2 linked regions of the Caenorhabditis elegans genome follow. The protein of the gene in region 1 purifies or fractionates together with the protein of each later gene. This does not show direct contact. Each region holds a gene or a part of one and is shown on either strand. Other genes may lie near its edges.

Region 1 (9,597 bases):
AGCACAGTGAAATAATCATTCATAACCTTGGGCATTGTGACAAGCACTTACCATGCATATGTACAGTTTTCATAAACTCTCAAGACATCTGTAATTTAAAGTTACATGCATACTTTCAGTGAGTTTAATTACAAGTTATGTCGAAATACAGAAGGATTCAGATTTTTAAATAAACGCGTGAAAATAAATATCTGTAAACTACAAGTTCAAATTGAACATTTTGACAAAGTTGTACAATTTCAATTACACCGTTTAATTCTCAAAGAATTGATAGGATCTAACGGTGAGTTTCGCGGTTATCAAAAAACTATCAACATTTTTTTAAATACAGAAGACAGAATAAGGGAATTCACGGGAATGTTTGATTTAAGTTATTATGGTTGGGACTTAAAAGCCGAGAGGATTGCCAGGCATTGCATCCGGTTTGGAATGCAGGAAGGTGTAGATTTACATGGATCACAACTACTTAATTTTGACGTTTTCGAAGTCGCTGAGCCGTTAGTTTTTTGGTTCATATTCTTCACAGCGCTGATATTCCAAGTTATCTAAAACTAACTGAGTTACCGTATTTTCCCTATTAGAATTCACTTGCTCTAATTGACAGGTTTATATATACTTCGGCTGTTTTTAATTTAAATTTGTCAAACAGTGCTCAGCAATCAACATTTAGAGAAATATTTTGAAAGTATTTTATCAGTTAAAATTATTCGAAATAACTCATGATGTAGCCTTTTTCAACGAGTTATTTTTGAAATCAGCAACGCAGCAATAAAAAAAAAATCAAAATTGAAACAATTTTTAAAGGAAAAAAGATTTTAAAAAATTATTAAACAGAGGAAAAGATGAAAAAAATTAACAAAATCCCCGTTTTTGCGTTTGATATTTTAACTAATATTTGCTATGACGACTTTGGCAGCACCTTGTCAACTTAGGGCGTTGTTTCCCTCTGAAAATTTAATTTTAGCATCATAGAAGGAGCTTTAAACAGTTACCCCAGAATCCGCTGATCGCGTTTTTTTTCAATTTTCCCTGTGACCAAAATGAAAATTAAAAATTAAATAAACATGAAAACGAACGAATAATGTAATTTTTTTGTTAGCTGAACTTTTTAAAGAATATTGTTCCTAGTTTTGAAGTAGCTCATTTGAATAATTCGACAAATTATTTGACCAGCACTGTAAGTTTTTTTCAGGCACCTACACGGAATAGTGAATGCTGACAAATTTGAAGTGCGTCGAATATATACTGATGAAGAAGATGAAGAAATGGTGTATTTCCCGATAAATCGCTTTCTTAAAATGCCCATTACATGTGATACACTCACATTCATTCTATATGGCAAAGATATTGTCTCACTGCCGAGAACAATAACACATCAGGCTGTTTCGAACTGGAATGCAAAGAATGTTAACCTTAATTTTCGATTCGGAGCGCACAATGTTATGGCAGAAAAATTTCACGAGTGCCCAGAAAATTTCAAGAATCCAGTGAATATTCAGTTTGTTGCACCATGGAACATTGAACCAGTTTCTGCTAATTTATTGGAAAGTGTGGAAATTAAGTTACAATACACGGATGATATTCTACTTACCATTGAAGATCAGTTGGATTATGACTATTATTCACCATATGATAATATAATTGCAAATGTTCAAAGGGCCTTCCCAAGCAGGAATATGATTGTGAAACTTTCTGAGACGAATGTTCTAATTGCTCCTGAAAATATGCACAAAGTCTTTGCAAAGTTTATTAGGTTGACTGAGCAAAATCAACAGCGAAATGGAAGTGTCACATTTAAATTGTACTATGAAGAAGACGATAGAATTCCGATAAAAGTCCCACACATTTTCAATTCAAGCGCACGTCTCGTAGGAGAACAACCTGAACATTGTTGGTATCTCGATGAAATTCTCAATATTCCAAAAGAAACCATTAAAAGCCCTTTTGGATGTGTAACTGTCTGGTATGGAAAGATGTTCCGTTTGTGAAACTCTACCAATAATCGGAAAATTGACTTTCAACTTTTCTACCAACGACGTTATTTGAAGAAGTTTTTCAAGGAACACGATGGAATGATGAATACTGGATTTTTAATGCATTTCAAACATTTAATTGATTAGTTTACTGTTTTTAAATACTTGGCCTAGAAAAGCCCAATTCGGCCAACGATTTATCTAAAATTAATTTATAAATTCTTTACCCCAACTTTTTCTGAAACTTTCCGAAAATTGCTCAATTAATGTATAAACTTTTTTTAAAAATAAATGCAGATATTACCCACACGCAAAGCTTTGCGATTGTTGCACGGTCTCAGCACGCGCGTGTGCCTTCAAGGAGTACTGTAGCTTCGAAGTTTTGCTGCTGCACAGAGGTTTCATCGATTTTTCATAATTTTTTTTTGAAAATCTATTTGTTTGTTATAAAAAAAGGAAATACTCAACAAATCTATGAAAAATCGATAAAAATTCCACAGCAACGAAAGTTCGAAAATACAGTACTCTTTAAAGGCGCACACCTTTTCGCATTTAGCAAAAAATTCTCGTTTCGAGACCAGGACACCGTACTTTTCGCGCAAAAATCGCGAAAGTTGCTGTACAATTTTTTTGTTATTATTAACACCCTCATCTTGTAAAAATTCCAACTAAGGTATAAATTCTGTAAACGCAATTTTTATTATTATATTAAATTCAACAAGCAAAAAATCACTAATTTAACAAATTCACCGGCGTTCAACATTTTTCATCAATACTCGTCTAAAACAGCCAAATAATCATTAAAAGTACAAAAGAGCACCGAATTCGCGGACATTTTTGTTGCTCCATACAGAAGATTCGATCCAACATCCCGATTCTCGTGGACAATATCGAGAGTGTCCGAATTCAGAATACTGTAGCCACCGTACATGCAGGAAGTACAGTACTCTGAGCCAACTTGTTCAATGTTCCAAACTCCACCAGAGAGCTGTAATTGGAAAATAATTTAAATTTCTCGTTAAATTTAGGGGAAATTTTCAAAATAACCAATAAATTGTTAGGTCTATAAACGCGAAGGACGGTAAAATAAAGTCGATTCGCACCTGAAAGGCCTGGATTTTTTATTTTGAATACGTAGAATCTGGTGACACGTGGCGATATGAGATCCTGCACGTGGCACAGATAGTGTTCAATTTTTCGAAATTCTGAGGTTGCGTATTTCGCAACATATTTGACGCGCGAATATCTCGTAGCGCTGGTGTCGATTTACGAGAAAATCGAGCCCGTAAATCGACACAAGAGCTACAGTAGTTTTTTTACGAGATATTTTGCGCGTCAAATATGTTGTGCAACACGCACTCTCAGAATATTATGCTCCCATAATATATCATACCTTTTTCTCTTTGAGCACAGTTTTTAAATTCCTTCGATCGAAAATCCGGACGTGCTCGTCATAGCTTCCAGTTAGAATTTGATCTTCGTTCGAAGCCGGGAAATCAACAAAAACAACACCGGCTTCGAAAATTTTTGATTGACCGGTTTGAGTTCGGCTGCGAGCATCCCAGAGTCTGAAAATTTGAAGATTTAAAACCCCTCTGTTTGAATTTTGAATTCCCTCCAAAATGAGAACTGCAGGACCAATCAGCGATTTGCTCCGCCCACCCCTTCTGATTGGTTTGCAGTTCTCATTTTGGAGGGAATTCAAATAGAAAATTGGTTTTTCCTTCAAACCTACTTCATTGATCCGTCCTCTCCGCCAGTTACAACTGTCTGAGCATCTTTGCTGATCGCACAAGACCATACTTCACATCCTTCACCAGGAACGTACGGAAGCGAATGAGCAAGCCACGTGGAAACGATGAGTGATGTGTTCAGGTCGACGATGTACGCGTGGCCCTGAAATGAACTGATTTCAAAAAATAGAGAAAAAAACGTTTAAATGGGCAAGCGCGCTCCACAGCGAAATGAGAACGCTCCGCCTCTGGGTCTCGTTAGGTATTGGCGCCAAAAAAAAACAACAAAAATACATATTTTCTGACACAAAATTGATGTAAAATTCAGTTTTTAATGTGATTTTTCGAAATTAAGGTTTTGCCGCCATTACCTATTGGGACCCAATTCTTGGCAGTAGAGCGCACTTGCGCGTTGTTCTGCGTCTCTGGAGCTCCACGTGGTGTCAGAGTGTCTCATTTTGACTTGATATACGGAGATCTACAAAAAATGCGGGTTCTCAACTGATTTCGCGTAGTTAAGAACGTGCTGACGTCATTTTTTTTTTGGATAAAATTCCCGCATTTTTTGTAGATCAAACCGTCATGGGACAGCGTGGCACCACTTGGCTTGATAATAACGCCTACAGAGCAGTTCTGAGAACTTGCTGCGGCCTCACAAGTGACACCCCAGCACACCATATCTACGAGGAAGCGACCAGATTGCCCCTGAGAGAAGAAATTGAGCTTAGAAGACAACAATTCCAGATTTCGTCAATAAATACGCCAGGACATCCATCCAAAGACTTAAAGCTCAGAAGGCCGACGGAAAGAGCGTCAAATAGGCCAAGGGAGCCTCCGTTAGATTACCCTAGCAACACCACGAGCAACTGGCAAATTCCTCAAATGACCACCAAGGCCATCCAGAAAGCAAACCATAGGAAATTCGTGCAGGAATTTCTGAACAAGAAACCGGTGAACAACGTGCTGGGCACCCCTGCCCCAGCGGTGGCCGAGGAAGAGAAATCACTACCAAGGGTGAAGCAGAGTGGAGCTAGCAAGGCTGAGATGTGGACATTCCACGATGGTACCCGGCTACTTCGCGATACCGACCTGTGGGAAATGTGGCGATCAAAGAGGAAATGTGGCACACTTGTTGGGATGCTCAACCCAACCCCCGCTAACGCCATCAAAATTGTGGTCGGATCCGAAAACGGTGGCTGAGGCCCTGGGCCTCCCCACCAAAATATTCGACCCTCCGCACCTGCAGTGGTCTCACCAGTGATTCTCCGACTCAGCACATCTATGAGGAAACGGAGAGGCTTCCTCTTCGCGAGGAAATTGAGCTCCGCAAGCAGCAATTTGCAATTGCAGCACTGAACACCCCTGGCCACCCATCCAAAGACCTAAAGGCAAGAAGACCCCTTGAGAGGACGACCAACAGGCCCAGAGAGCCGCCGTTAGACTATCCGAGCAGCACCACCAATGCCTGGACAAATCCCCGCTCAACGACCAAGGCCATTCAGAAGTCCAACCACCGAACCTTCATCAAAAACTTCCTAAACAGCAAGAAGCCGAACAACGTACTTGGACGCCCTGCCCCCGCCATAAATGGTGAGGAAAGCTCCTTGCCGCGAGGAACAAGAGTGGAGCTAGCCAGAATCAGATGCGGTCACTCAACCATGGTCCCAAGCTATTTCGCGAGAATCAACAACGACACGGTGCCAGCCTGCAAGAAGTGTGGCGATGTCACAGGGAATGTGGAACACATGCTGAGATGTTCTATCCAACCCCCGCTCACTCCGAAAAAGGTGGCAGAGGCACTGGGCCTCCCCACCAGAACTTTCGATCCAGGCGGATCTCAATGATCCAAGGACCTCCACGGATCCATCGCGGTGCTTTGCACCACTACTACTACTACTACCCTGGAGGAACTCACTGAGGCATGGACGCCCATGGCGCCCTTCTGGTGGTGCTTTGCACCACTACTACTATAATACCGGCGAGATCACAGTACTTTGTTGTCAGTTGTAATAGTGAGGGAAGAATCCGAAAGTCCCAAATCCAAAAGCATATCCGACGATACAGGTGTAGTTTCGGATGATACAGGTTCTGAAAATCGTCCTGCTCATTTGAAATCTCAGGCACAATTCAAACCTTCAATTTTCTGAACCACTAGTGATCCATCGGTTAGCGCTGCAACTATCGTCGACGGATTTCGGAAATCGAATCGAAACACTCCAGCAGAAGTGCTAATCTCATTTTCCAACTGTAGCCCGTCGGCTTCATCAATCTTCAAAATGCACAGTGAGCCGGATCGAGTGTCTGAAGATGTATCGAGAAGATACGTGGATACGCAAGCACGTGATGTGTCCTCTGATGGTATCCGACGAGCAAATGCTGGGCGATTTGACAGCTTCACACTTTTTGATCGCATTTAAATGAGCTCAAAAAATTTGTAATTTTGAAAATTTACTAAAAATGCGGTTTTCAAACGTAAAATGTTTCAATTTTTCGTCAAAAATACGGTGTCCGGTCTCGACACGAAACAATTTGTTGTTAAATGCGAAAAGGTGTGCGCTTTTAAAGAGTACTGTAATTCCAAAATTTTTCGTGATGTGGAATTTTCATCGAATTTTCAGTTTTTTAGAAATAAAGTATTATTTTAACGAATAACGTTAAGAAATCGATAAAAATTTTACAAAAACCAAAGTTTGAAATTACAGTACTCTTTAAAGGCGCACACTAGTTTGTATTTAACCAAAAAATTGTCGTGTCGAGACCAAATACCGCCGTTTTGGCTCCAAAACCGCCAAATTTCGAGTCTATACATTGGTGAACTATTGAGATTGGAATAAGACACATATTCATGGAAAAAATATTGGGAATAATTTAAAACCCATGAGGATCGTGATGGAAATTATAGCAAAAAAATTAAAGTTTCCAGTTTGCAGGAATGGTAAAAATAAATACAATTTGAAATACATATATAAAAAAGCAAGATTAATTCTTCGAGGCGGCCTCCGATGATGTCTCTTCAGGCTTCGGAGTCTCTGATTTCTGCGCAACTCTTTGTGCTTCGATCGCAGCGTCTGCCTTTTTTTTGTCTGTTTCGGCCTCTTGTTGACACGCTCTGCAAATGATTTTTTTTCTCTCAATTGATTTCTCGATTATGACGATCAAATATTTGATCGACACTTATAATTCGAGTGGAAAATCGACGAAAAAACTCAAAAACCTACCTAATCAGAACTTTTGCCGCTTGAATATTCCTCTTCAACCGTTCACAGGTCAACTTATTGAATGTATATGTTGGACGAACGTCTTTCCCGATTTCTTCGATCAACTTGAGCAGAACTTCGTAATAAGGAGTGCCTTCTTGCATCTGAAATCATTATTTTTTCAATTAAAATTGTATATTTAGATTTTTTTTTAAATATTTTACCTGAAGATTCGGCACAATTGAGATAAGCGTTTGAAGATCTTCTTGTGTCGCCATTTTTCTAAAACAAAATAGGTTGAATGAATTACTGCGAGAAATCAATAAAAATACAGAGAACGGGAACACCACCGTTCTCTGCGTCTCTTTTCAAAACACGTTTCAATGGAGCACATTTGCTTTAGGATTTTGGCGGTTATTTTTACGATATTTTTTTTTGAGAAATCGAAAAACCAAACAATTTTGTTTTGTCGAAATTTTGAAAAAAAAAAGGATTTTTGGAAAAATATAATTTTCCTCTTTTTAGAGAAAAACTATCTGTTTCTTATGATTTGTTCTCATTAACATAAATAAAATTTGATAAAAAATAGTTTTTTTTGTTAATTTTCTAAACATTTTTCCAATTTTTCGGTTTTCCCGGTCTCGCCACGGCAAATATTGGTTAAATGCGGAAAAGGTGTGCGCCTTTAAAGAGTACTGTAATTTCAAACTTTTGTTGAAACGTACGGAATTTCATGATTTGCAGCAACACAAGTTTGAAACTACAGTACTCTTTAAAGGTGCACGCCCGTTTGTATTTAACAAAATATTGTCGTTGTGAGACCGGGTACCGTATTTTTAGTGTGAAAATTGCAAAATTTTGCGGCTGGGTAATATAAAATTGAATCGAGATATTTAAATAAATTGGTTAAAATTGATACCACATTTAAATAATATTTCAAAAAATTCGATAAAAAATATTCACAGAAGCTCGAATTTTATTAACAAAATAAATAGTACATGTTATTCGGGAATGAAACGAAAATGAAAAAAAAATGCCGCAAAAATATGAAAAAATCATCATCACAAATTGAACAACCGACAAGGAAGGACACGAAATATACAAAAAAAAATTCCAAAAAATTCCATAAAGGTGCAATAAAATTCTGGGAATTTCCAGCTAAAACGCTGAAAATATTTAAATATTATAGATATTTAAATCTATGCAAAAGTTTTTGCAATTTCGATAAGTGCACTATAGGTTCCCGTTGTGAATCCAATAAAGGCAAAAGTGAGAAGAACGATATTTTTGATCCATAATCCAGTGCTCAACTCGTTTTTCGCGTAGGATGTCTGAAAAAAATTCAATTTTTTTCATTTTTAATTAATTTAAAAAAATTGGAATTCAAAAATTCCTACCAAAAGTTCAATGCACGGAGGGAAGAGAAGAGCCATTGAAGCTCCAGAAAATGCTCCGATTAATGAGATGAAAAGAGCCAAATGAGGAATAAGCTCAGCTATTGCACCTGGAAATTTTTTTTCAAAAAATTAGAAAAAATCAGTTTTTTTCTAAATTTTTATATAATTTTTTTCTCGTCTAAATTAATTATTTGATATCAACCTGAAAAAAAACCTTTGATTTTTATGTGCAATTTTTATAGTATATTTCCAAAATGTCTCAGAAAAAGTCTGGATTTACCGAAATTCTCTCAATTTTTATTTCATTATCGATTTGAAACACAATTTTCTGCGAAAAAAGTTTAAATAAATGTATAATTATCGATTTTTAGACCAATTATTTTATTTTTTTGATCAAAAATGTCAGAAAAAGTCTCAATTTACCAAATATAACTGTTTAAAAATTTATTAAAATTTTCTAAATTTGTTATGATTTTTTTCTAAACTTATTATTTGATTATTATTTTTGAAACACAATTTTTCCGCAACAAAAAAACTTAAATTATCGATATTTAGGTCAATTTTAGATTTTTTTAAACGGAAAATGAAAAAAAAAATAATTTTTGCGAATAATATTTTTTTTTTGAAACTTACAAGTCAAAATAACTCCGGAATATCTGGCAATGTAGATGTACAATGTTTGTTTATCGACGGGAATCTGAAATTTTGAAGAATTTTGACCAATTTTCATGGAAATTTCTCCAAAAAACCTTTCTAGTAATCCATTTTTCGATTCTTTCCATTGGCACATAGAATTGAAGAGGATAGGAGATCATGATGCACGCCACAAACATTAATTTTATCGTTTGATAGAATCTGAAATTGAATTTTTTTAAAATTATTCTGATTTAAAAAAAAAAAAATTTTTTCATTATTTATTTTTTTTTTTGACATATTTTTTATTGATGGCCCCCAGTTCGTGAACATTAATTTTATCGTTTGATAGAATCTGAAATTGCTAAAAAAGTAATTTTGAAAAATTATTTTTTAGGCATTGTTAGAAGAATTTCTGCCTTTTTTACAAAAAAACTTTTGTTCCAAGCAATTATAGCAATATTGTGAATGAAAATTTCGCTGTAAATGATAGAAAACAGTCTCAAAAATTGAAAGAATGTTTTTTTTTAATTTTTTTTTGCATTTTTACGTTACCCAGCTAAATTTACTGGTTTTTTCTTGACTTTGAAATTAAAAAATTTGAATTTACGGAAATTTCCGCGAATTTCTCTACTTTTAAAGAGATTTTCTTAGTATTTTAAAC
Region 2 (7,210 bases), 8.6 Mb from region 1:
AAAGAGATACGAGCAGCTAAAGATGATTTTTCTTTTCTTTTTTTCTAAAAAAAATCACAACGAGACCAGCTGACTAGAAATAATTTGTTCTGGAAGGTTGATACTTGTTTATCAGGCTTTCAATTTATCAAGTGTCCACTTGAACGTTTCATATATTTTTGGTTATTTGTTAATTTAAAATGAGCTTATATAATCACATAAATATTTTTAAAAATTAATTTGGCAAATGGAAATTTTCTAAAAAAAAATGAATGAATTTTATACGACCTATGAGTTTTTATGAGTTTTGGAACGACTCCCAGACTTTGTTAGGCACGTTTGTATTTCAATGAACTTGTTCTTAAAAAATTTATTACGCGCATCTAGTCTGAAACTATGTGCACACCAGTAGGCCAGTAGGCAGATATCGGGTTGAAAACAGCGAGGAAGGCTGTCGGGTGAACTTGTCCGCCTGATTTGGACTACTTTTTTTTTAAAGCAGAGCTAGAGAAATTATAATAAAATTCAAGAAAAATGTATAGACCTAACAAATGGGAAATCAAGCGTCGGAAAAATTTAAGAAACCACTATTGATGAAACCCATAGCAAAGATTTTTGCGGCAAGGAAGCATAGAATTTAAAAAAAAATTTAAAAACTACTTCTAAACTAGAATACTTTTCCCATTAATATGAGTGGTTGAATCTTGATTAAATATGTGACATATAAGTCACCACAAAATTGAGCAAATACTCAAAACTACTTAATAGTTTTGTGAGTCACTTTTATAAACGTTCAAAACTTTCTTCAAAAATAATTTTCAAGTTCACCTATGTACCTTTAATATTTTCTAATTTACAAAAATCTAAACGAATATAAAAATGGATTAAACTTACATTTTGTTCTTCCACTGATTGACTTGGCATTTTCTTGAGCAACTTCTTTTTTCAGTAAAACAAATTTCAGATATGTGTGCTTAACTTTCAAAAGATATATCCTTGACTGTCTCCTTATTTTTTGAGCAATTTTGATAAGTTTAGCCAAAAAGTAAGTGGGCGCTCATTTTCGCGACAATCTTTGCTGTCTGCGTCTCTTCGTCTCACGTGCAATTTCGCTGTTCAAATATAAAACAATGCACACACATACAGAAAGGCTATTTTTGACAGGGAGCTCAAGTAAAATGGAGAAAAGCGAAGTTGTTCGGAAATTTTTTGAAATTCAAAAACCTAATGTCAACTTGTAAATACAACTGGGTGGTCAATGTTCAATAACAAACAGAGGGATATTTTGATTTTTGAATTGTGTTGGAATTTCAAAGAACGAAAACCATTTTACCAATTCAGATATTAACAGGAAAGTATGTAAAGAATATTTTCGAAGTCCATATTGACAGTTGATAACTGTTGACGTGGGTGAACCTGACCAAGCACATACATCCGCAAAGTTGGGACGGACGGGCTCTACGGAGTCCAAGTGACAACAATATCTACTTTCTAGACACAACATGACACTCTAAAAAAATCTGCTCAAATAAATTGAAGTTGGCAGAAAAAAAAAAATTTTACAGAAAAATGTTGTCAGAAAGTTGCAAAAGTTTGATAACATACTCACAAACCTTTTTCAAACAGGAATTTCATTAGATTCAGTATTACATTTTAAAATTAAACTCTCCAGATTTCCATGCATCTGCTGCGAAAGTAAATTACAGATTCTGAAAGCCGAAGATTTTAGCTCTCGCGCCAGGTTAAGTTTTATTTCATTCACATCTTATAGTTATCGTATTCCCGAGCAACGTGTTTATTTTCAATTAAACCTAAAAACTCCTTTTAAAATCAAACTTCAATTAGACATTCACTTGTTCTTATCAGCGGAAAAAGTTCAAAAACCTGGCTCTATCGACAGAAGTGAACTTTTCCATGAAAAATAGGCAATAACTTTAAAAACATAGCAGGTGGAGGGTGTAAAGGTTTTATGATTGGCGTATCAAACATTCAGAGCATCGAAAAAGATAATAACATGCACATTAGGCAATTGATTTCTGACGACGATCACACCGAACAATGTGTGGTATATTTGGGATTGTTGCCGCTGGAAATTATGAGCATTTGAATGTTCTTGCTGCAAATGGATTGGCTGCTCTTCAACACAGGTGGGGTTTTAAGTTTAAATTTTTAATAAGCTCTGTCTCAAAAAGTTTGATTTCATACATCTCCTACATTGGTTTCAGTTTGAATTTTTAACTGTTCAGCTCCTCATTCCTAAATATCTAATTTTTCAAAAAGCTCTCGTTTTCTCTTCCCGTTCATTCCGCTTCTGCTTAACTTAAGCCATCGTTCCACAAGAAGGCAAAAGTGTAAACTCCCTAATTGTATCCGAGCCAGTTTAGTCTGACTAGACGTCAATGGAGAAGTTATCAATTTTGCGTCAGAAATACGCTGAATCGCCAACATTAGAATCACGTTGCCAATTGGATGAAAATGACGCGTATGTAGAGATTGAACTGGCGTCTCGTGGGTCACAGCAAACAGCGCTAACCACTCGGACACACGACCAATAAAGTGCTTGTAGCGTTGCAGTGGTTGACATTGTTGCAAACAAGTAGATTGTGCAGTGATTTTGAGTTTGCAAAAAATCGAAATAGCTAAATGAATAAGTCTAGCATTTCTTGCAAATATTGTCTAGTTTCTAAATTGTTTTCCGTGCGTGATAGAAAAATAAAATACTAAAACAAATTAGTTGCAAATTTGCAATTCTTATCATGTATATTTTGCAGAGGAACTGAATCAACAGGACTCGTTGGTTCAGATGGAATCACTCGAGACCACGTGGAAATTATCAAAGGTCATGGACTTGTCCGAGATGTGATTACTGAAGATAATATCTCAAGAATGAATGGGCAATCGATAATAATTGGTCATAATAGGTATTCAACTGCAGGAAAGAAGAAGTCTGGAATCAATTGTGTACAACCATTTGTGGTATATACTGCAATGGGTACTGTAGCAATTGCTCATAATGGAGAATTGGTTGATGCGAAACAAAAAAGAAAGGAAGTACTTCATGAAGGTGTTGGTTTATCAACTGACACTGACTCAGAGCTTATTGCTCAAATGATTGCAAAAGCGATTGCTCTGAATGTAAAATGCAAGTATGGACAAGAGATGGGTGATATTACAAGAGTGAGTTTTTGAAAAACATGAAAATTCTTAAACCAAAAAACTTCAGGAGCTCGCAGTAACAATGTCTGCACTAAACATGTCATATTCTCTACTAGTAATGACATTTGATAGACTATACGCAATTCGTGATCCATTTGGAAATCGTCCACTTTGTGTTGGTACTGTATATTCTAAAAATGGAAATCCAGAAGCATTCATTGCATCTTCTGAATCTTGTGCATTTCCTGCAAATGCTAAATTAGATTTCGAAGTGAGACCAGGAGAAATTGTGGAATTATCGACAGGAGGAATCAAGTCGGTGTGGCAGGTAAACTTACATATATCTTGGCCTGCCTACGCGCCTACCTACCGCCTTCTCTGACCTCATTTTCTCATGTATGTATTTTGTTAGACATTAAAATTTAAAAAAGTGTTTTTAAAGTTTTGCAAATACATGTAGTTTTTAGACTTTCTGGTTATTTTTGGTATTTTCCAAAATTACAATCGAGACAGATGGGCTATGCTGAAAAATCAGAAACCTGGAATTATATGAGTCATTTCAGATGAAACCGAATACTCCTCTGGCTATGTGCATATTCGAATATGTCTATTTTGCACGAAATGATTCAGAAATTGAAGGACAACAAGTACAAACTGTTCGTGAAGAATGTGGAAAAACGATGGCTCTTGAAGATGATCTAGAAGCAGATATTGTTGGAAATGTTCCAGATTCTTCGCTGAGTGCAGCAATTGGATACGCTTCTCAGTCTGGAATCACATATGAACCTGTTTTACACAGAAATTCATATGTTGGAAGATCATTTATAGAACCAAATGATGAGATGAGACAAAATGCGATTAAAATGAAATTTGGTAAAATAAAGAAAACTATTTAGAAAGACTTCATGAATTCTATTTCAGGAGTATTGAAGAAAAAGATTCATGGACAAAGGATTGTGTTAGTAGATGATTCAATTGTACGTGGAAATACGATGAGAACTTTGGTAAAAATGTTAAGAGATGCTGGAGCAAAAGAGGTATTACCCTTGTTGTTAAAAATAATGATTTTTCACCTTATAAACCGTGAAAAAGGTCTTGACACGAGCAAAAATTTTCAGCTACCGTATAACGCGAGTAATTCTCCGTTTTTGCAGATTTTTCCAATACATATATTTGTTGTAAAACTGTGCATCTAGATGTTCAGCAAATATTAAGAAAACAATAGCGGAATACATAAAAACGAGAAACTGGAGTATACGGTAGAGTACGGTATCTTAGAAATTTCGATCGTGTCAAGACCGCATTATTCAAATAATACCTCTAAATTTAAAGGTTCATCTACGAATTGCTTCCCCGCCTGTAAAATTCCCATGTTTTATGGGAATCAACATTCCAACCACAAAGGAATTGATTGCTGCCGAAAAAACAATTCCAGAAATCTGCCAATTTGTTGGAGCCGATTCAGTACGGTATCTTTCGGTTGACGGTTTAGTTTCGGTGAGTTTGAACCTCACTTTCTCCTCAATTTAATTTTTTTTCAGTCTGTTCAAAAAGGAATCGAACGAGCTGCCAACTTCTCTCCAGGACATTGCACCGCATGTCTCACTGGAAAATATCCAGTTGCTATCGATTTATAATTAGTGTTTGAAAAGTTTGAATAGATTATTTGTATTCATGAAAAACAAAATCAATTCAATTAAAAATCAACAATGAATGTGTATAAAAATAAGAACAACAACAGTTTGCGGAAAAAAAATAAAATGATTAACAACAGAAATCAGGACGCTTACAAGCTCTTCTTCTTTCCACGAGATCTCAATGTTTTCTTTTCGACAGCAGCTGGACGGGCACTTGCAGCGACGGATTTGAGGATTGTCTGGAAAATTAATATAACCAAATTTTATTTAAAGTTTTTCGTACGTTGGATAGCGTAGATTTAGCCTGTGGAGTAGCAGCAGCAGCTGCCTTCTTTCCTGCGCGAGTTTTTGGAGTGAACTGTTTGGGTTCCGGCTTTTCAGTTTTAGGAGTCTTGATGACAACCTTTTTGGTGACTGGAGTGGAAACTTTCGGAGTTGCTTGTTTTGGAGTCACGGCCTTTGGAGTAGCTGCTTTTGGAGTTGCAGCTTTCACAATTTTCGGAGTCGTGCTTTTCGGGGTGACATCACTGATAAATTGAACCTCATTGTCAATGACCTTCTTAAGTGGCGTTCTTGGTGTTCCAGACACAGAGAAATCATAGTTGATCCCCATATTCTGCAGCTTCTTCAAAGTTTTGTTGAGATTTTGCACGCGTTTCTTGGCATTGATGACGTCATTTTTTCCGGTGGTATTGTTTCTGGCAATTGTATCTTTTTTAGCGATGCCCAAGTAAGATGGACGCATCACAAGCAGTGGGCCATGGCGCATTGCCTTCGGGATAAGTTCTGGTTTCATCACCTAAATTTAATAAGTTTTTCAAGGATATAATGGTAGAAGTTGACCTACCGTGCACCCGAGACGTTGCTCGAACATCAAGTAACCGTTCATTGATTCGGCAGCGATTTCAGCAACAGCCTTGTTGTCGAATCCAACGTACGCCCATCCCTTATGATTACCAGTCTAAAATAATGATTTAATACTATATTAACAGGTTGCTGAACCTACGCGTCTGTTTCTGGCCACACGAATTCTCAACACATTTCCGAACTGACGGAAATACCCGAGCAACTCCTTCTCGAAGAATCCAAACGGAATACGCTTAATCTTGACAACATAAATTTTCTTCAGCTGCTTTTTTTGGACTTTGTCTTGCTTCTGAGGTTGCTTGCGTCCTCCAGAACTGATCGAAGTTGGATTCTGGGCAACCATTGTGTCTGAGATCTGAAAAATGTGTATATTTCGTGCAATAAAAATTTTCAAAACAATATTTTGCAAATTATAAGAGTTTTCAGCTGTTCAAACATGAAAAATCAGGAAATAAGGTAGAAAAATTAGCTTTAAAATTTTGTGAGGGACAAAAGCAGTGTTACTGGCGCGTTTCTTCGTTGACGCAGTTTCCGTGCAAGGCGCATGTTTCGTGCTGAAGCGCACGCACACAAACATTTTTGTTGTTTCGTCGCATTTCTAAACTTTTTCATCCAATCAACCGATTTTTGATCTCTTATTCTTATCACGAAGGTCAATTATTATTCTAAACGGTTTAGACAATAAATACATACTTTCTATTTTCAAAACTCCAATCAGTTCCTACTTAACTTTTCGCTTTTATTCACTGCCTAATATCAGAGGTAGTTATGTACCGAGACGTAAAATTGTTCAATGTTTTTTAAAGTGTTTATATTTATCCTCTCTGTTCGACTCGTCGATCATTGAGTTTCGATGCGTTCTTTCTTAAATAATTACATTTCAAAACAACATTAACGTCTTTCCCGAAAAAGTCATTCTCCTTTTTGCTGTTTTTTAGATGCATTCATTTTTGTGTAGTGATTAATGATTCCCTTTCAATATTTCCAGATTCAATCGTGATATCGTTTTGATCTATGTTAGCATAAATAATCGTTTCCAATTTAGTTTATTTTTAGGAATGAGTGATTCGGACGACAATGCCTACAGCGATTATTTGGGAAATCGAAGAGCTGCTCTCCAAAAGAAGCGACAACCGGTACGAGTTTGTGAGAGCGACGACTCAGACGACGATTTCGATACCAGCGGTCCATCGCCAATGAGAAAAAAGACGCGGGAAACCCAACTCTTTCCGGACGACTCGGATGATGATGAATGCGTTGAAGTAGAGAAAGAAACATACTCCCAAAAAGTCAGACACGAAATTGATGATGTAGAAGAAGGTTAGTGTTATCATACTTTTTTATACAGCTCATACAAATATTTTAGCTTATCGTCGATCTATTTACAAGCGAGAGACCGTTATTCACGCACCAGTCGAGAAAAACAATGTTATTAGTGGACTGTTGAAAATCTGTGAAGGTTGGGACGAAGCTGCAAAATCAGGAGCACAACCGGAGGTTGAAGATGTGAAAGACGACTCAGACGCGGATGAATCAGTGAGAGGAAAAATTGTTTTTTTCTTAAATTTTGC

What was found.
Region 2: the proteins of dph-7 (region 1) and ppat-1 fractionate together in Caenorhabditis elegans (co-fractionation; one large-scale study listed by BioGRID). This does not show direct contact.

The regions. Positions count from the first base shown.
Region 1 is NC_003281.10:13,311,656-13,321,252, reverse strand, and holds dph-7 (methylated diphthine methylhydrolase), read right to left. Parts: upstream 6,129-9,597; 5' UTR 6,120-6,128; coding exon 5,840-6,119; intron 5,795-5,839; coding exon 5,700-5,794; intron 3,870-5,699; coding exon 3,709-3,869; intron 3,542-3,708; coding exon 3,367-3,541; intron 2,962-3,366; coding exon 2,743-2,961; 3' UTR 2,656-2,742; downstream 1-2,655. Other genes in the region: F53A2.11 (F-box domain-containing protein), read left to right, coding at 1-118, 162-283, 332-497, 1,193-1,988; Y43F4B.10 (uncharacterized protein), read right to left, coding at 6,686-6,815, 6,925-7,067, 7,128-7,181; slc-36.1 (Amino acid transporter transmembrane domain-containing protein), read right to left, coding at 8,103-8,234, 8,301-8,407, 8,934-8,997, 9,050-9,155.
Region 2 is NC_003281.10:4,687,308-4,694,517, forward strand, and holds ppat-1 (Amidophosphoribosyltransferase), read left to right. Parts: upstream 1-1,972; 5' UTR 1,973-2,037; coding exon 2,038-2,126; intron 2,127-2,326; exon of another isoform or gene 2,327-2,464; intron 2,465-2,750; coding exon 2,751-3,156; intron 3,157-3,202; coding exon 3,203-3,463; intron 3,464-3,698; coding exon 3,699-4,008; intron 4,009-4,056; coding exon 4,057-4,172; intron 4,173-4,467; coding exon 4,468-4,632; intron 4,633-4,676; coding exon 4,677-4,772; 3' UTR 4,773-4,864; downstream 4,865-7,210. Other genes in the region: tag-243 (Costars domain-containing protein), read right to left, coding at 874-903; nifk-1 (RRM domain-containing protein), read right to left, coding at 4,922-5,011, 5,056-5,571, 5,620-5,733, 5,779-5,982; T04A8.8 (Rad60/SUMO-like domain-containing protein), read left to right, coding at 6,698-6,959, 7,006-7,175.